Callithrix jacchus: one gene and its partners. The protein of the gene in region 2 purifies or fractionates together with the protein of the main gene of each other region. This does not show direct contact. Links are inferred from orthologs where the notes say so. Each region holds a gene or a part of one and is shown on either strand. Other genes may lie near its edges.

Region 1 (4,980 bases), on a different chromosome or scaffold from region 2:
GGTTAAAAGACCTAGGTTCCATCCTGGATAATGCCACTGACAAACTGTGGTTTATATGAATTCCTTTACCTCTCTAAGACTTAGTTCTCATGATGAAGGCCTTATGAGAATATTCTGTTGTGGTCAATATGGACTCTCAAGCCAGACTGAGTTCAAATCTTTCATCTTCCACTACCAGCAGGGTGCCTTGTGAATAAGTCAAATAAGTGCATATGTGTAAAAAACTTAGAATGGTGTTTTGCATACACGTGCCTAATAAATGCCAGCTACTACTGTAATGGATACTAAAGTCCTTTCTCTTTTTTTTGAGACGGAGTTTCGCTCTTCTTACCCAGGCTGGAGTGCAATGGCGCGATCTTGGCTCACTGCAGCCTCCGCCTCCTGGGTTCAGGCAATTCTCCTGCCTCAGCCTCCTGAGTAGCTGGGATTACAGGCACGCGCCACCATGCCCAGCTGATTTTTTGTATTTTTAGTAGAGACGGGGTTTCACCATGTTGACCAGGATGGTCTTGATCTCTTGACCTTGTGATCCACCCGCCTCAGCCTCCAAAGTCTAAAGTCCTTTCTCTAAATGCTATTAGTATTAATATTACTGCCCAGTAAGTATTTGGGTGCAAGCTGGGAAAAATCAATTGAATACAGCTTTGGCTAAGAGACTAGAGGGTTCTTATGAAGAGAACTCAGAGGAGTGAAGTCTTAAGCTTTCTGAGCCTCAGTGTCCTCATTTGTAAGATGGCCATAACAGTCTAATCTCTGCCTGCTTCCCAAGAAAGCTCAAGTGCCTGGCCCGTTGTAAGCATTCAGAAAATATTTGTGAAATGAATCAGTGCATGGACCACGTGGGGCGTGTTCTTCATCTTAAGCCTCAATGGGCTCCAAAATGTCCCTTCCTAGATTCTACAAAAAGAGTGTTTCCAACCTACTGAATCAAAACAGAGGTTTCAACTGTGTGAGAATCCACACATTGCAAGGCATTTTCAGATAGCTGGTTTCTAGTTTTTATTGTGGGATATTCGGATTTTGCCATGAGCCTATATGGATTCCGAAATGTCCCTTCCCAGATTCTTGCTAACTTGGTGGGAATATCAAGGGCAAGGATTCAAGGGTGGGGATATTGCTAACTTGATTTAGCAGAGTTCTTTGCTAAAACTGGATTTTATCACGAAGTACACAGATTGGCCTAGGAGAAGGTTCAGGAGCCTGACTAAAGTTTGGTCAAGCCAAGAATCTTTGCCAATTTGCATAGGAAATATCTGGAAGGCTATATGCCGAAGTTAATAGTGCTTCTCTCTGAAGAAAAACTGTACATTAAAATTTTAATATGATTAAAAGGAAGAGCTCCTATTTAAACTCCAGAGGTCCTGTTTCGAATCTGACTCGAAACTCTATTCAGCTTTTCCGGAGTAGTTTCCGCTTGTGTAAACTGACAATGATAACACCTACCTCCCAGTGTTGTAATATGGGAGAGATATTACACAGTAGCGGACATAGCCTAGCGCAGGCGCAGTACAAGCACCATCAGCAGCGCCCCGCCCACATCCTACTACAATTTCCGGCAGGCTCCGCGCCCGCCTCTGGCGCGTCGCGGGTTGTGACGTAATGCGATAGCGCGGGGAATTTCGAGTGGTATTGGAGCGCCGGAGGCTAGTTGAGTGGTAGACCCCAGCATCTTCAGGAGCGACCATGGACTCCCTAACCGAGCCTCGGTGGCCGCCGGGCCTGGCAGTTATGAAGGTGAGTGCTTCGGGGAGGTTGGGGGCTCCCGGGTGCCTGCGGGGGGCGGTCCCTCCCTTTGAGGAGGATGTCCTCGCCTTGAGGAGAAAAAATGAGGCGCGAGAGTCGCACTGGGCCATAGTACCCGGCTCTGCTCTGTCACTAGCCGACCGCGTGGCTCTGGGTCTCAGTTTACTCCTTTGATAAGTGACAAGGACAAGCTTGGTGAGCTGAGGTTGACAGTCTAATGGAACCAGATATTCTGCGATCCAATCCGAACAGTAACATGGAGAAAAACAGCTGTTCTAAACAATGACATTGTCAGCTAACCTTCACTGAAAGCTTACTTTGTGTCAAGCACTAAACAGTGACACCGGACATGATTTTGGGTGGACACTTTATCAAGTAACATGTATGTAATCACGTAGCCAAGCAGGTAGTCTCCTTTACAGGCTCTTCTGATTATTCTCAATAAACCTACTGCTGGTTTGTACCGACATACTGCCCCAGCTCCTCCCTCACACGTCCTATCTCTTCTGTAACAATTGCTCATCTCTCTGTCTTTTAAACAAAGATCAAGATTCAGCAGTCATCTTTCATTGCATCGAATTATTTCAGTTAAATAACACTTATTTTTGTAGCCACTTTCTGTTTTGGCAAGGCAACAGTTTCCATTTACGTAGTGGTGGTCCCTGGATTTGCTCAAGAGCAGATGCACATTCCCGTGCTGGCTAAAAGTCAGTTGTTTGGTGTTTCTTTTTGCTCTGTGATTATTTTTGTTTCTGACAGTGGCTAAGATAGCCTTTTTCTCTTCCTCAGTTTTGTAGTCTTGGGGATTATAGTATCTGTCCCACTGGCTCATAAAGTTGACTTTAGAATTAAGTGAAGGCTAAAATAAGTATAAGGCCTTGTTCTTCCTGCTGTCATCCGTGATATTTAGAGGTCTTGGGGACTTGAGATATCTGCATGACGAGAAGCTGACATTGTGAAAGGATCCAGGAAAGCGGTGGTTTCGAAGTTGTGATGGGCTTGGCACCAAGATGCCGTGGAAAAGAGCACAGATTTGAATTCTAGTGGTCCTGGGTGAAATCTGATCTCTGCCTCTTAGCTGTGTGACCTTCAGTTAGTAACATAACCTCTCTGAGCCTGAATTTCTTCAACTATAAATTAGAGACAAAAATAAACAGTTCATAGGGTTGATTAAATAAATGAGTTCATGTGTGTGGGTGCAGATTCTGCAGGCTTATTCATTGTGCTTGATGCGGTGCCTGACAGAAAGTGAGTGCTCAAGTATTATTTGCTGCTTGATTGAAAGTATCTGGAATGTAGTAAGCATTCAATGAATATATTTTATTACTATTATTAGCACTGTGCTAAGTGCTTCTCTCCCCTTTTAATTTGTTGTCATGAAGCTTGATTTGGATAAGGAAAGTAAAAGAACTCTGTAACCTGTAAAGCTCCTGCTTTGTAGATTTAAGCATATTTTACATATTCCCACAATTTCAGTGTTCTTTAGAGGCAGGTTCCATGTCTTCTCTGACTTTGGTATCTCACCACGGCACTGAATATAGAGTTTGATACCACAGAGTGTTCAGTGATTGTTCAACCAGAGAGTTGATTGAGCCCATATTTTTTGCTCACATTAGAATCATAGAATCTTAAGGTTTGGAAACCAGCCTCCTTCATTATTTTAAACTCTTTTATAACATATCTGCCAATTTCTCACCTAATTTTTGCTTGAACTCTTCCAGGGACAAAGAACTATCAGATCCCAGAAGTGGATCTGACTAAAGTTACTTCTAATAGAAGTCTGACTCAGAATGCATGGTTCCTGACTTAGGATCCGTAGAAAGACTTCGGAGTCTCAAGTTATTTGTAGAATTTTCGTATATATGTTTTTCTGAGAATAGAGTCCATAGTTTTCATCTAATTTTCAAAGGGATCTGTAACCCCAAAAACTTGGGTATTTTTGTAAGTATTATGTTTTTCTACCCATTTTCTACTCCCTTTCACTTTCTCTCTCTCTAAACTAAAGACATTTTGGGGTGTCTGCTGACCACTCTCTATTCAGGCATCGTTTTTTGTTTGGTTGGTTGAGGCACATGTGATACGCATATTACAGTCTTGGAGAGACATGACCAGAAATTTGAACCCGAAATAGCTCATCTTATGGAGTGTCAACTTCCACAAATTGTGCTCTGCAGATCTTTCTGAATCATTACTCCACCGAAGAGAATGGCATAGATAAGAAAGAGTGGTATGACAGACTGGTTCCGGCTTCTGGGCCTGCCTCTGATCTTAATTGATCTTTAACATTAACCCTCTAGATTTTTGTGTCTGTGACAGCTTACCATCCACAATAATGGAAGATTTTGGCATTTTATTATTTCCCTGGTTTTATTTTAGCAAAATTGGACTCTTTTTGGCATATTGTAAATGTAATAGGTGTACACAGTAGAAAAAAATTAAAATTCAGAGTAAGATAAAGGTGAAAAAGAAAATCATCTGTAATCCTACCACCCAGAGAACCAGTGTTTAACATTTTACCTTATTTTCCTTCAGTTTTTACGCATTTAAAATTTGGGATCATTGTGGAGTCAACTTCTTGGGTTTGATTCAGCCAACCTAGGAACTCTGAAGGCTTTGTTTTTAAAATTGGGGTACTGATGCTGTGGACTTTATAAGATTGCCATGAAGATTAAACTACAGAGTTGCCATTATTATGTATTATTGGCATATATTTATTTTCTGATTTTTATTTTCCTATGGCATTAAATATTCTTTGAAAGCATGTTTTTTAATGGTTGCATAATATTTCATCATATGGACTGTTGGCAACATTAGTCTTTTTTTTGTATAAATTTTAAAAATTCAGATAATAGGTTCACTTGGTTCAGGATACACATGAAGTGAAAAGTAAAAGTTTCCTTCTTACCGTGTTCCTGGCCCTGATCATTTTTATTATTATCTTCTCATAATTTGTTTGTATTTCTGATGAAAATAGATACTTTTTTTTTTTTTGAGATAGGGTCTCACCGTCACCCAGGCTGCTTGCTGCCTTGAACTCCTGGCCTAAAGTGATCCTTCCGCCTTAGCCTCCTGAGTAGCTGGAACTACAGGCATGTGCCATCATGCCCAACTAATTTTTACTTTTTTTTATAGACATGGATTTTTGCTATTTTGCTCAGGCTGGTCTTGAATTCCTGAATTTAAGCAATTCTCCTGCCGTGGTCTCCCAAAGTGCTAGGATTACAGGCAAGAGCCACC
Region 2 (4,405 bases):
CAAAAATTTTGCTATGTGGGATTATATAAATAAAACTGCTTCGGCCACCATGAATGAAATTTGTAAATCCAGGAAATGAAAAGATTTTTTAAAATCTTAAATCAGAGAAAAAAGCAAAGGAATAATGTGACAGCCACACCAGCAGAAGCAGCCCCTTATACAAAGTAATATTTTGCTCTTATATTAGCTTTGGTGCAAAGTGATCATGTATTTAGTATTACAAATGTACAAGGCAGTGAGTGCAGAAGCAATCTCCTGGCTGAGAAATTCCTGTTCTTGCACAATAATGTCAAAATTCACCAAAATTTGGCCATAAAATCAGCAACATTATAAAAATTAAATAAATGAAAAACAAATACAATTTTAGATTAACTCCTATATCCTATAAGTTCCTTCTATGATCGTAAAATATGGCTTTAGTCTTGGCTCAAAATTGATTTTACTAATCGAGAGTGCTTAATCAAAATGCAATGCACCTCTAAAATATAAATAAAATAAAGTAGTAGATGAAACCTGAAGGAGTTAGAACTGTCTCTCTGTACTTCCATTTCTAAAAGTAAACCACTGTATAAAGTTATGAGAATCAAATGAATTAAAAGCACATAAAACGGCATAGCACACTCTAAGTACTTAATAAAAGTCAGCTATTATTATCATGTCCAGTGTATTTTGCTGAATGTGAGAATTTGTCTGTTTTTCAAAATGTATAGTCATATCAGGAAAAAAATCCGATACACTAGACTATTAACTGTTGTTAGTTGTAGACACCTTTCGTTTCTTGTAAACTTCTGCAGTTTGATTTTTTAATATTCTATTTTCTAGTAAAAAAAATAAAATGTACTGAATTAACAGTAGGTTTGTTATTTTATTTTTTTTTCAATCAATAGATGATAAAAGTACAAACTAATGTCATGTAGACATCCCTGAAATTTAATATTAAAAAGGGATCCCTGTTTTTGAAATTATTAGAAAACACTGCTTTGGATCATGGTAACAGTTTCAACCTTACACAAAGCATCCTCAAGATAATACCAAGACCTCAGTCTATAACTCCAAGATTATAATATTACGTTTCTTGATGTAGCCAAGAATTCAGAAAGAGACAACAGTATGAGAAACATACTGTTAGGAACTCTTGAAGAAGGCAGAGAGAAGATTCAAGACAGATAACAAATTATACATATTAGGGCAGGTGTGGTGGCTCATACCTGTAATCCCAGTACTTTAGGAGGCTGAGACAGGAGAATCGCATGAGCCCAGGAGTTTGAGACCAGCCTGAGCAACACGGCAAAACCTCATCTCTACAAAAATACAAGAAACTATCCAGGCATGGTGGCCCACATCTGTAGTCCCAGCTACTCAGGAAGCTGAGGTGGGACAATCACTTGAACCCACCAGGTTAAGGATTACAGTGAGTCGTGATCACGCCCCTGCATCCCAGCCTGGGTGACAGAGTGAGACCCTGCCACAAAAACAAACCCAAATTATAAGCACTATATTCAGGGACCATTCTTCTTAAATATAATTTACCAAACTCTTAATTAATATGAGACTGAATTCATCCCCAAGAAGGGAACTGCATATTTAAACAAATTTCTTTTAAAAAGCCATTAAGATGAAAATTTATTTAGAAATTCAGAAATTTAATTTTGGTTCTACCTGAAGTAGGTTCCCATGAATCAGAAGAGGATCTTTTTCTTGAGAGATGTCCATTTTCCTATGAGCAAAATGAGATAAAATTAATTAAGTGTTGGGGACAGTAAAGAATGTGAAGGCATTCTTCCTAACATTTAAACACAGATTTCTAGATTGAATAAAGCAAGGACCCATATTTGGAGGTAAAGCCTAGTGTCTATAATAAAACATTTAAAGATCTTAAGGTTTTTATCATAAAAATTAAGGGCATTTATATCATAAAAATGTAAAAATATCATAAAAATGAACTCAGTTTTTATAATGCTAATTTACATGTTTACATCAATAACGCAAGACTAATATTATATTAGAACACTGTATTTTTGAGACAGGGTCTCACTCTGTCACCCGGGCTGGAGTACAATGGTGTGATCAAGCTCACTGCAACCTTCTCCCGGGCCTAAGTGAGCCTCCTAAGTAGCTAGGACAACAGGTGCATGCCACCAGAACTGTTGTTTTTTTTTTTTAACCTTTAGTAGAGCCGAGGTCTCGCTATGTTGCTCTGGCTATCTCAAACTCCTGAGCTCAAGCAATCCTTCCACCTCGGCCTCCCAAAGTGCAGGAAGCAGGAGGATTGCTTGCAGCCAGGAGTTCAAGAACAGCCTGGGCAATATAGGAAAACCCTGTCTCTACAAAAAATAAAAATATTAGTCAAATATGGTGGCATATGCCTGTAGTCTCAGCTATTTGGGAAGCTGAGGTAAAAGCATCATTTGAGCCCAGGAGTTTGAGACTGCAATGAGACATGATCTTGCCACAGCACTCCAGCATGAGTGACAGGGCAAGACTGTCTACACATAAATAAGACTATACTTGCCTTTAAAAAAAGTGTTTACTTTTCTGACTAAAAAAGATCTTCGCTCTTGGTCTGAAAAAACTAAGGATAAGAAACACTGCTTTACTGAATTCAGTGAAGGGCATGGAGGAAACCTAGTGAAACCAGCTTCTACACAAACTGTGCATAAGTATTTGCTTAAGGAAAGACATCAGTGTGATGTAACAACTCTTAAATATTTTAAAATTTAGTATTCTAAATATGATATAGCAGTAGCAATGCTAATTCAATCATTATTACACATACCACATTTGAAAGATTTGTCTTTCTAGGTATGACGTCATTCTGTTTACTTTGTTCCTGCCTTGGTTTGTATTTTCTTTCTATACTAGAAGATTTAAAGGAAAGATTGCTTGTTTCTGAGAAAGAATTTTCAGAGTTGATTCTCTGCTCCATTTGCTCCTTTCTCAACTTCTTTAGTTCTCGTTCTCTGCAGTAAGAAGCTAGTGACAACTGGAATTTAGCTCCCAATGGGCTTTCTCCCGGGTGGTGCCTGGACAGGCTGCTCCTGCTGCTGAGACTTCTGGAGCTGTTCTTGAAGATGTCAGCTTCTGCCACTGTGGTCTGCTTTTTGGAGTCTGCATTGGTTTTGCCTCGATCTCTATCATTCTTCTCCCTATTTTCATGAATGAATAGTGATTTCCTTCTCTCTGGGGATCGATGTTTTTTCTTTAGTGACTTCATCTCCTTTGGCAAGCAATATGAAGAAGGAACATAGATATTTGCTCCTTTGGCTAAATATTTGGAGGCTAGTGACACACAAGGCCGACGTGACTCACGTACACCATGATCTTTATGGCGCTCTTTAACACCACCTTTCATGAAAGCTTCGATAATAGGGCTCTTTTCTGGTGCCACCCTTTTGGGTTTAGATTTTTTTGGTGAGGATAGTTTCCTTTCAAACTGCTCTGTCCCAGTGATGGACAATCTACTTCCTCCATATTTGATGTTTGATTTTTGTGGTGAATCCAACATGTGTCTGTCTAAATAGCCAATTAAAACACATACAAATTGCATGTTACTAAAAATAAAATATTTAACATTTATCTCAATTATTAATTTTAATATACTAAATTAAACTACACCAATGTTACCACAAAAATTTTCAAGCCAATAACTTGGATAATGATACACACTTTATTGGGGGATATAAGAGAAATTAAGACAGAATTTATTTGCTAAAAGCCTTACTTTCATAAAGCTCTCTTTTGGTACATATAGCCTCCCTATGGCTCTATAAATTACTGTATTAGAGAGTGAAAACAGTACACGTTAAGAACATTAAATTTTTGACTAGAGTAATATTTTAAACATATGAAAACGTAACAGCAAAAAGACTTCCCTCATATTTAGAACTTGCTTATCCTTGTAAAAAAAAAAAACAACTGTATCTTCGTATTTTCAATTTTGAACACTACATTTACTAAAATAGCTTACAGTAGGTTTTAAAGTTGAATCTGTCTCACTCCTCACCCCCGAAATAGCCTACAAAAATTGTACCAATAGTGTACATACCTTGTTTTGAAGCTGGTTTGAAGAAATCTATAATTGACTGCTTCCTGAAAATAAAAGCATAATATAGCATCATATAAGCAAATATTAAAACCTCCATAATTCAGATTAAATGGAGAAAGTTAGATTTATAAAATGAAGGCTGGATTTCACTATTCAGTTTAAAATAAAGTTTTGACAATGATAATAATGCTTTGCTAAGCTGTTCATTTAAAAAACTGAAAATATAACGCATCACTTCCTATAGGAGTTCATTATAAAAATACAACTGAAGTTTATATTATTTATAGTTCTCAAATAGATAAGACAGGCATGTAGACCCAAGGAATTAGTACAGAGTGCTTCTTAGGACTGAAATGCTCA
Region 3 (4,904 bases), on a different chromosome or scaffold from region 2:
AAAAAAGAGTGCTTTTTTTTCTTAATGAGAAACAAAGTTTTCATTATTTTCCTCTCAAAAGTGATTTCGTATCACTTAGTCATTAGAGTAATTCATAAGGGCTTTCTTCCTCCTCAAAACTAACCAAACGCTGTATTTTAAATTTTAAAGTAATTTTGAAAGAAAGTATGAATTAAATGAACTTAAAAGTTTCAGGGTTATTTTACTTTTAAGCAGTAGCATTCCCTTATAAGGTGAGAAAGAGTACATAGTACCTTACACAGATGTATTTTCCTTTAGTATATTCAAAGAGTCAATTACAAGAGTAACAGATGATGTTTCATTTTAGTTATATTTTTGAGGGATTTGTTTTGTTTAGGGTTTATTATTCAATGTCTACACATGATTTTTTATTTTACTTTTTAAAAATGTTTTCCTGGCTGGGTGTGGTGGTTCATATCTGTAACCCCAGCACACTGGGAGGCCGAGGTGGATCACAAGGTCAGGAGTTTGAGACAGCGTGGCCAATATGGTGAAATCCAGTCTACTAAAAATACAAAAAACAGGCGGGCACCTGCAGTCCCAGCTACTCCAGAGGCTGAGGCAGGAGAATCGCTTGAACCAGGAGGCAGAGGCTGCAGTGAGCTGAGATCAGGCCACTACACTCCAGCCTGGGTGACAGAGCAAGACTCCTTTCTCAATAAATAAATAAATTAAAGTAAAATAAAATAAAAATGTTTTCTTTAGGCTGGGCGCAGTGGCTCAGACCTGTAATCCCAGCACTTTGGGAGGCTGAGGTAGGTGGATCACCTGGGGTCGGGAGACCACCTGACCAACATGGAGAAACCCAGTCTTTACTAAAAATACAAAATTAGCCAGGCGTGGTGGTGCATGCCTGTAATCCTAGCTACACGGTTGGCTGAGGCAGGAAAATCACTTAAACCTGGGAGGCAAAGGTTGTGGTTGGTGAGCCGAGATGGTGCCATATGCACTCCAGCCTGGGCAACAAGAGCGAAACTCCGTCTCAAAAAAAAAAAAAAAAGTTTTCTTTAAATGGTGAAAACCCTACTTTAGAATAATATAATCAAGATACATATAATAAGGAAAATACTAATTAATAAAGCTATACTATTGGTTTCCCAAAAAGCAAAGTTTTTGAACAACATTGTAAATTTTGGATGCGTATTATGAAATATTAAGAGTTCTGAATTTTGATTATGAAGAGTAACCACATTTGACGGTGATTTCAATGACTTTCTCGTGCTATATGCTTTAGGGAAGAAAATGTTACGTCATATAATTCAATTTAATCAATAATGCGTAATAAAATATGAATATAGAAAACAGAATAGGGGTTTATTTGCAGTACTGAAGGTTAGCTGTCTTTACAACAAAATTGACTTAAACATTCAAGTATTTGAACATCCTAGTTCCTTTAAATTAAGAATACTGAGTAAACTTAGAAATAATGAAATTTGGCCGGGCCTGGTGGCTTACACCTGTAATCTCAGCACTTTGGGAGGTCGAGTAGGGCGAAATCACTTGAGGTCAGGAGTTCGAGACCAGCCTGGTCAACATGATGAAACAACATCTCTATTTAAAATACAAACAGCTGCGCGCGGTGGTGCGCACCTGTAATCTCAGCTACTTGGGAGGCTGAGATAGGAGAATTGCTTAAACCTGGGAGGCGGAGGTTGCAGTGAGCCAAAATCGCATCACTGCACTCCAGCCCGGGCGACAGAGCAAGGCTCTGTCTCAAAACAAACTAACAAAACAAAATGAATGAATGAATGAATGAATGAAATTTACTCCCTTATATATAAATCCACTTCAAACTAGCAACTTACATATTGAACACCTGCAATATACGTAATCAAACTTTCCAACAATGAGAACATCTTGCACATCCACAGATACTTCCACGAATTGAGGCACAACGGAATAACATAAACCAAAAAGTCCAACAGGTGAATTGTCTGTCACATATAAATTGTAAATTCAGTTCAGTTGTTCATTCCCAACGTCTCAACAACACATTTTTCTCTTTAATAAGAGTAATTCGTCAAAAAGGCTGCCCAGTCCAAAATCAAGCTCCATGTAACACCTGAGTCAAATAATGGTATTAAGTACCCAAGACAGATCAATTTTTTTTTTTTTTTGTCAATATTTAATCTGAGGCTTTGGAAGTGGAAGAAATCTTAAAATAACCACTTAGTCTTGTTTCCAGCCTTCAAGCAGCTGAAATAGAATCCCCAGAAACACAGACCCTCCCGCCAGGGAAACGTGTATGTGTATATGTGTTTAAAGGCCTATAGCAGTCAGAGATAGGATGACTGCCGTTTGGGTATGTCAAAAAAAAATTCTACTAGAGAGGAAAGAATAACACAATTTTCTTCGTCACAGGACGGTGGGCCGGGGGGAACCCAGCCACCTTCGAAGACGCAAAGTTATGGAAAGCAGCCAAAACTCTGGGATCTGGGTGAGGCGTCCCCATCGGTTCTATGGAAACGAGAGACGCGGGGGGCCTAGTGCCTTCCAAGCGGCGGACCTAGCTGCAGAGCTGCGCAAGCAGCAGCGGGGGAAGCGGCTCAGCCCAGTACTGCAGAGAGGCACTCGGTGCCGGTCCCCGCCGAGGCGAGCGTCGCGGGGTCTGCAGCAGCAGCCCATCACACCAATTCCAGCGCCAAGGGCGAAGTCGGGAGGGCGGGAAAAAACAGCTGCAGGTGGCAAGAGCCAGACACCGCCGCCGCTCACCTCAGCCGCAACCTTCCCAGCCTCAGAGCCGGAGGGAAGATACTTAGAGGGTACAGATCGGGGAAGAAACATCCCAACAGAGACAGAATACACTGTGTCTTCCAAGCTGAGCCCCTTTACCTTCCCGGCCGAAGTGTGTGGGATGCCTTCCTCGGGTGGCGACTGCAAGAGCGACGACTGCCGCTGCAGCACTCAACTGCTTCACTAATCCGGGCTCTGGGAAATAATTTCCCGCCGCGCGCTAGGCAGCCCCGGAAGCGACAGTATCATTTCCGGGTGGTTGTCAGTGACGCTCTGGAGCCGTCGCCAGGGTGTCATAGCTGTTGCCGGGCTTGAGTCCGGCCAACGGGTCAGGCTCCCGCTAGATCACCACTGGAGGTAAAAGACTGGTAAGTGATTTTACTGGGTTGCCTCCTGGGCTTGATATTAATGGCTGGCCAGGGCTATCTGCAGCATTTTGGCCAGCCCCAGAAGTGAGTGGGCGAGGGTTGAACCAGAAGGAGTCCCCATCCAACCCCGTGGCGTTTGACACCCTGCGCTGCTGGAGAAGGCCTTGGGATCCCGGCTTACCGTCTTCTCCACTCGCAAAACCTGTCTCCGACTTGGAACTCGACCTCGAGTCCCCAAGTGTCCCTGGGCGAGGCCGAAGACACCGTATATGGTGACTCGGCGTGATGCCGAGTTTCTCTGCCAATGATCAACGAGTGTCCTATCTCCCATTGGCAGCGTTTGGCCACTCTCGATTCCTCAGTACTGTTTCCGTAGTTCTGGGTTGCCATGCCTGGGAGGCAGGCGGTTGGCTGAAGAAGACATCTTTTACAAACATTTGGAAGTGAGATGGGGAGGTTCCTTCCTGCTTTAAAATTAATTGAAGGTTCCCCCTGCCGTTTGAATTGGATGAGAAGAACGGTCTTTGTTTCCTGGCTGAGACACGAGAAAACAAGCTTGTCATTTCATGCTTGGACATTAGATGCATTTTTGGATGGCAGTGATCAGTAAGTAGGTGTGCTTTCAGAAAGAAATGCTTGCGCTCTGCTCCAGGCTTTGTCAATAATGAAGGATTCGGGAGAATTTTAGATGGAGGTCTGAGGTAGCCAGAATAGTTGTAAAGAGAAATTGCTTCCGACAAAGGGAGGAAAGGTGATCATTTAAGATTTGAAAGTTGTGATGTAGTGAACCTTGGCGACTTCTCTTAAGTAATGCAGTTTCTTAGGTAAGTAGTTTTCACCTGCCACCTTGTATTTAAATAATTACCTCCCACCAACCCCCATAAAAGGCAGCTAATTAATTTTTTTTTTAAACAGTCAGTTCCCAAGAGAGTTGTAGGTACTATTGCATTTTTCTTTATGGGTATGCTCCCCATACCCATAAAAACATTTTCTTTATGAGAGCATACTCATAAAGAAAAATGCAATATGTTTAATTCAAGGCCCCTGTTACATCAGGCCAGTGCCTTCTTACCTTTTGAAAATAATGCAACCATTTTTAGGACAGCACATTGATTTTCTAACCTTATTGGTTAATAATTCAACAAACTTATAATCTCCCCCATTGATTCCAATTTTGACATTTTGTTGAATCTTGTGTGCTTGCTTTATTTCTCCAGTTTAAAGTATGAAAAATTTTTTCAGGGCGATTATGTGTTATTTCTGCACAGCAACTAGTTTTTAGAGGCAGTGCTTTATCTCTATTAATTGCTCTTGAATGTAGCCAATCATTAATACTTACCCCAAGTAGATATTATCTGCCAGGCACTTTACATTTATTCTTTTATTTAATGCTTAATAAAGAAAATCACAAAAATTGTGTTATTTCTATTTTGCAAACAGACTCAAAGAGGTTGGTGATTTTCCACAAATTATATAATTAAATAGCACAATTAAAACTTGAATCTAGACTACCTGACTCTAAATTTTGTCTCTTTACTGTGCTCTATACCTTTATGAGTAAACAAAACAGTATCATTTTCACTTGCAGGTGAATTTGGATAGATAGTATGTCACATTTACAAACCAAGTGGATAGCAAAACTTGAGGATAAAGGGACTTACTGGATGTGTTCATCACCGTGAGGTAATTTTAACACGTGAATAATGCAGTTTCTTTACTGCCTTTATTCTTGGCCAGTTTTATTATCCTAATTCAAACACATGCCTATACTGTACATTGACA
Region 4 (5,000 bases), on a different chromosome or scaffold from region 2:
CATGGCCCAAATCAGAAACCTAGGCATTATTTTACTTCATTTTTAGTTCATTCATCTCTTTTGACTCTACTCAAACCACCACTCCATCATCCAGTCAGTCACTAAGTAATGTTGGTAGAATTGCAAATCTGATGTCACTTGTCAAAAAAGAAAAATCAAGGAAAAAGGAGAACCCATCACAGTCAAGTTTCATCTTTTTCTATTTTTATCTCCTTGCCCTATTCTGTCCTCAGACCTCTAAATTCTACCTCTAATGTACTTCTCTCAATTTTTTGACTACAAATCCTTCTTTCTCTTAAGCCTTTGCATGTGTTATTCCTTCAGCCTCCAAGTCTCTTCCTCCATGCCCAACTCCATTTGACTTGGTTCAGTCACTACTCTCTTCCAGGCTATTTAAATTCTCTGACTACTCCTCCCTATTTCCTTGCTAATTCTCTAAGCCTACTTTTCTCTACCTCATGCCTAAAACTCCAAGTCCACTCATTAAAATAAACAATATCTCACCTGCCTCTGCACTTCCAGCTATCTTTTCTTTCTTCTCTTTGCATCCAAGTTTTACTTTCTCACCCTCATTCATTCTTCTATGACCTGCAAAGTTTTCTGCTTCCACTGCGCTTCATTAAAGGGTCAAAGATTTCCCAATTGCTAAATGCAGTGGGCTCTTTTCAGTTCCATTATTTGACTTCAGTGTAGCAGGTGTTATTTTTGAAATCTTTTTTCCTTGGCTTCTTTGATAATTGTCTCCTAATGTTTTCATCTAAACTTTCCTGAATAGTTCCTTCTCACTTTGAGTTCTTCTTCAGCTCCCCCTTAAAAGTAGGCATTCTCCCAAGGCTCTGTACATGATCTTCTAGCCCTTCAATTTACAATTCCTAATGGGCAATCATAACCAGTTCTGCAACTTCATCAATCACCGGTATGCATGACTTCCAAATCTTTCACCTGTTCACTTTTTCCTCTAATCTCCAGACTCTCACATTCTATCCACACAACATCCCTCTTAGATGCCCCAAAGGAAACTGCCTATAGAACATCTCTCTTTGTACCCCAAAGCCACAGTATCTAACAGGCATTTATTATTATTCTCCTCAAACTACTCCCTCTTCTGAATAGCAGCTGACCAATAAGCTAAGGCAGAGACTTGGGAAAAACACTGCATTCCTTCCTTTCCCTGCCTCACAATTATTCTGTAGCTGGATCCTGTCAAATCTCATTCATTTACGCTCTGATTATCTCTGGCCTTCATACTGTAAGTCTTCTTGCCTCTAATCTTGCACACTTTCTAAACATCCTTCACAGTGCTTCCAGATTAATATAAAACACATGTCATTCCCTGTTGAAAACACACCGTGGCTGCCTACAGGATGATGCTGGAACTTCTTAGCATAGTAAATGTACAGGCTCCTCAATGGTTGCCTACCCTCTGTCCACATACTCACTCACATCCTATATTTTTGCCATACTAAAATACCTGACACTTTCTAAATATACCAAACTATTTCAGAAAGTTCCTTCTGTCTTCAATACTCTTCACTTCTTTTAAGACTTTTCTGTCTTCTTAGGCGGGTGCAGTGGCTCATGCCTGTAATCCCAGCACTTTGGGAAGCTGAGGTGAGTTGCTTGAGCCCAGAAGTTCAAGAAAAGCCTGAGCAACATAGTGAAACCTCATCTCTACAAAAAATTTTAAAAACATTAGCCAGGTGTGGTACGTGCCTGTACTCCCAGTTACTTGAAAGGCTGGGGTAGGAGAATCACTTGAGAAGGGGAGGTCCCAGGCTGCACTGAGCCCATATCATGCCATTGCGCTCCAGCATGGGCAACAGACCAAGACCACAGACTTTCATATCTTCTTTACAAAGCCCTTTCTCATACTTGTGGACAAAATTAACCACTTCATCCTTTGTGAAGGATCCTGATATATATGTTGTTATAAAACTGGGCAAAATAACCTATTGAGCTTCTTTCAGCAATGGAAATTATCAAGATACAGTTGTTATGAAGAAAGAATGAGTGCACTGTGTAAATAAAGCACCTAGTTCTGTACCTGGCACACAACAGGCGCTTGAAAAAAAAAAGTGGTATTGTTATTTCAATTCTGTTATATTTATTCCACTGTGTGCAAGCTTAAAAAAGACTTTCAGCCGGACGTGTTGGCTCACGCTTTCGGGAGGCAGAGGCGGGCAGATCACCTGAGGTCAGGAGTTCCAGACCTGCCTGGCCAACATGGTGAAAGCCCGTGTCTACTAAAAACAAAAAAATTAGCCGGGCGTGGTGGCGCGCGCTTTTAGTCCCAGCTACTCGGGAGGCTGAGGCAGGAGAATCACTTGAAATCAGAAGGCGAAGTTGCAGTGAGCCGAGACAGCGCCACTGCAGTCCAGCCTGGGGGATACAGCGACACTCCGTCTCAAAAACAAGACGACCTTGAACAAATGAACTGTGAGGTGCTAGACAAATACATGACATATTTTAAATATACTAAATTCTAAAGTTATAACTCGTTTTCTGAAGGGGAGAGGGAGGAACCAGGGACGAAAGTTGGATTTAGAGGGTGTCAAGGGTTTGTTTGTAGCGAGGTCCAACAATTGCCAGTAAAGTTTAATTTTTGTGTACACTCTAACCTCCCATCCTGAACAACCTTTACCGTCTTATCTCCTCCTCTCTGGCAAATGCCTACTCTGAGAATCTGCCACAGCATCACCATTACTCCGAATTAACTGTGCCTCCTCTTAAGTTCCAGGGACCAATACTTTTGTGAATTCCAGACCAGTGTGACCCTATGGACCGCGACTCCCAGCGGGGAGAGACCTACTCCCTAGTACAACCACTACCTGCTACATGACGCCCTTGGAAACGTTAGCGGACTAAATTTAAAAACCACATCACACAAGGCACACATATCCTACACCATACACGTCAATCTCCACAGGATACATAGAAAAATCCTTAAGGAAACCCCGGCACGAATTCATAGCCAGACCCACAAGCCAGGTACACACACACACACACACACACACACACCGCCCCGCGCAGCCGGCGCCCCCGGGCCCCCACGCCTCCACAGCCCCGGCGGGGCCTCCAGGACACTCACAGGAAGTTCTCCATCGAGATGCGGACGATAGAGCCTTCCACGAAGGGCCTGGACGACTGCAGCAGCGGCAACTGCGGGGCGGAATTCTTCCTCTTGCTCGGGACCTCTGACGAAGGGTCTCTTGGGAGAGCTCTCTTGGAAGCCTGGGGGCTTGCGGTGGACGTCTTTCTGCTCGGAGTCGCCATTCTGGCTTCCCCTGCGCCCCGCAGCGGCTTCCCTTCCCACCGTCCAGCAGCCCACGCGCCCAAGAGCCCAAGCGCCCCAGCGCCCGGCTCCCGCGCGAACTGCCGCGAACTGCTCCCGCGCGCTCGCGCCCGCGATCCCGTGCCTCGCCGCGCCTGCGCAGTTCAGGTCCGGAGGCGTCAGCAGGCCCGCCAACACTCTTCCAGCGCCCTGCGGCTGAATACCAGGCCCAGAGTGAGGGCGGAGACGCTGGCGGGACTAGATGAAGGCCTGGGGGGATGTGACAACAGGACTTTCTAATCTGTACATTTTGGCATTTTTTCAGTTCTTTTTTTTTTTTTTTTTAACTCAGGAAAAGAAGTAATTGCATTTAGTATTCTGAAAGCCATTTTTTTGCTTCCCGAGCCTCAGTCATGTGTGGTGGGAGGTGGCGGCGGGAGGCTGCTGAGGGTGGCACCTGGGGCGCCCAGTGCCGCCAAGGCGGGGGAGAAGTAAGGCTCTGCTTGCTCCCACCCCTTCCAGGGGTCCGCCGGAGAGCTCCCGTGCATGCCCGTCCTTGGCTCTTCGACTTCCCCGTTGCTTCAAGTCAGATCCCCTTCTCAAAAACCCGAAAAAGAAACCCTCCCAAATGGCTCTGTGCCCGACGCTTCGTTGAGGCATCTTTCTAGGCGTTCTCAAACTCGTGAAAAGACTACACTACACAGATCACCCTCATTGCTTCTCTTACCCCGGCCTCCTAATTCTCTCGTTTAACTCCCCCCGCCCCCCGAGGTTTCTAGAAATCCCTGCTACCTTCATTAAGAGAGTGGTTCTGCTTCCGTCTGCTCACATTCATCTCACCTTCATCTAGTGAGCCCCCTCATTAAAGAGGAGGCGCACGGAGGCCTGCATAGATCTTCCTTCATTCAACCAACAATGAATGTCTAATCTACTAGAAACTGGAGCTGTGGCAGTTTAGGAGCCTGCCGAGGTTGCATCCCTGGGAGCTTAATTTCTAGTCGGGGAGAGAGGAAAAGAACAAGTGAATCAACAAGTGAACTGTGAAATTAAATAATTCAAACTTAAAGCTGTTAGAACTTTAAATTATTCTGAGCCTTGAGTAGAATGTGGCTATGGGGTCTGTGTCCCATGACGAACAGCTGCAACTGTTTCCTTGTTTTTTCCTGTAAATAGGAAGACCAGAGACAAAGACCCCTTCTTCATAAATTAATATAGTTATAATATTAATATAGCTATATTCCTTGGAATGTAGCTATATATAACTAATCTAATCTTTGTAATTTATGCACTGGTCTTGTATGGAAAATGTACTCCTGCTGAACCTTCTTTGTCTCTGCCTATGAAAATGAAACCTTAACTTCACCTTGGAACATTGACCCTGTTTGTTTGGCGGCAGTGTTTCCAGGTGGCTGTCCTCAAGCTTTTCATTAGAATAAATGCTACACTTAATGACATTCTGAATTCCACTACTTAAGGTCGACACAACAAATGATCAGGATAATTTAAGACTATGATACGTGTTAGGAAGAAACCAAAATGAACCTGACCGGTGGGAGGTACGGAAGGCCTGTCAGAGGTGGTGATGTTTCTGCTTGAAGGACAAGAAGAAACTGTGAGATCTGAGAAAAGAGCATCCTAGGCAAAAGAATTTTGCTGGAATATTCCAGTGAGGACAAAAGCTCTGAGGTGGGAAGCTCAATTTGGCTGCAGAGCAGTGAACAAAGGTTGC

Evidence for each region.
Region 1: the proteins of SLF2 (region 2) and RAD18 purify together in Homo sapiens (affinity purification with mass spectrometry; 3 studies listed by BioGRID and IntAct, with this or other methods). This does not show direct contact. The link is inferred for Callithrix jacchus from reciprocal best matches to the Homo sapiens genes SLF2 and RAD18.
Region 3: the proteins of SLF2 (region 2) and SLF1 purify together in Homo sapiens (co-immunoprecipitation; 3 studies listed by BioGRID and IntAct, with this or other methods). This does not show direct contact. The link is inferred for Callithrix jacchus from reciprocal best matches to the Homo sapiens genes SLF2 and SLF1.
Region 4: the proteins of SLF2 (region 2) and SMC5 purify together in Homo sapiens (affinity purification with mass spectrometry; 3 studies listed by BioGRID and IntAct, with this or other methods). This does not show direct contact. The link is inferred for Callithrix jacchus from reciprocal best matches to the Homo sapiens genes SLF2 and SMC5.

What each region holds. Positions count from the first base shown.
Region 1 is NC_133516.1:66,167,308-66,172,287, reverse strand, and holds the start of RAD18 (E3 ubiquitin-protein ligase RAD18), read left to right. Parts: upstream 1-1,596; 5' UTR 1,597-1,683; coding exon 1,684-1,734; intron 1,735-4,980. UniProt on the Homo sapiens protein: E3 ubiquitin-protein ligase involved in postreplication repair of UV-damaged DNA. Postreplication repair functions in gap-filling of a daughter strand on replication of damaged DNA.
Region 2 is NC_133513.1:93,831,589-93,835,993, reverse strand, and holds part of SLF2 (SMC5-SMC6 complex localization factor protein 2), read right to left. Parts: intron 4,090-4,405; coding exon 4,046-4,089; intron 3,514-4,045; coding exon 2,777-3,513; intron 1,718-2,776; coding exon 1,660-1,717; intron 1-1,659. UniProt on the Homo sapiens protein: Plays a role in the DNA damage response (DDR) pathway by regulating postreplication repair of UV-damaged DNA and genomic stability maintenance.
Region 3 is NC_133503.1:116,036,861-116,041,764, forward strand, and holds the start of SLF1 (SMC5-SMC6 complex localization factor protein 1), read right to left. Parts: upstream 3,385-4,904; 5' UTR 3,304-3,384; intron 3,123-3,303; exon of another isoform or gene 3,012-3,122; intron 2,952-3,011; exon of another isoform or gene 2,854-2,951; intron 1-2,853. UniProt on the Homo sapiens protein: Plays a role in the DNA damage response (DDR) pathway by regulating postreplication repair of UV-damaged DNA and genomic stability maintenance.
Region 4 is NC_133502.1:94,614,559-94,619,558, forward strand, and holds the start of SMC5 (structural maintenance of chromosomes protein 5), read right to left. Parts: upstream 3,385-5,000; 5' UTR 3,274-3,384; coding exon 3,089-3,273; intron 1-3,088. UniProt on the Homo sapiens protein: Core component of the SMC5-SMC6 complex, a complex involved in repair of DNA double-strand breaks by homologous recombination.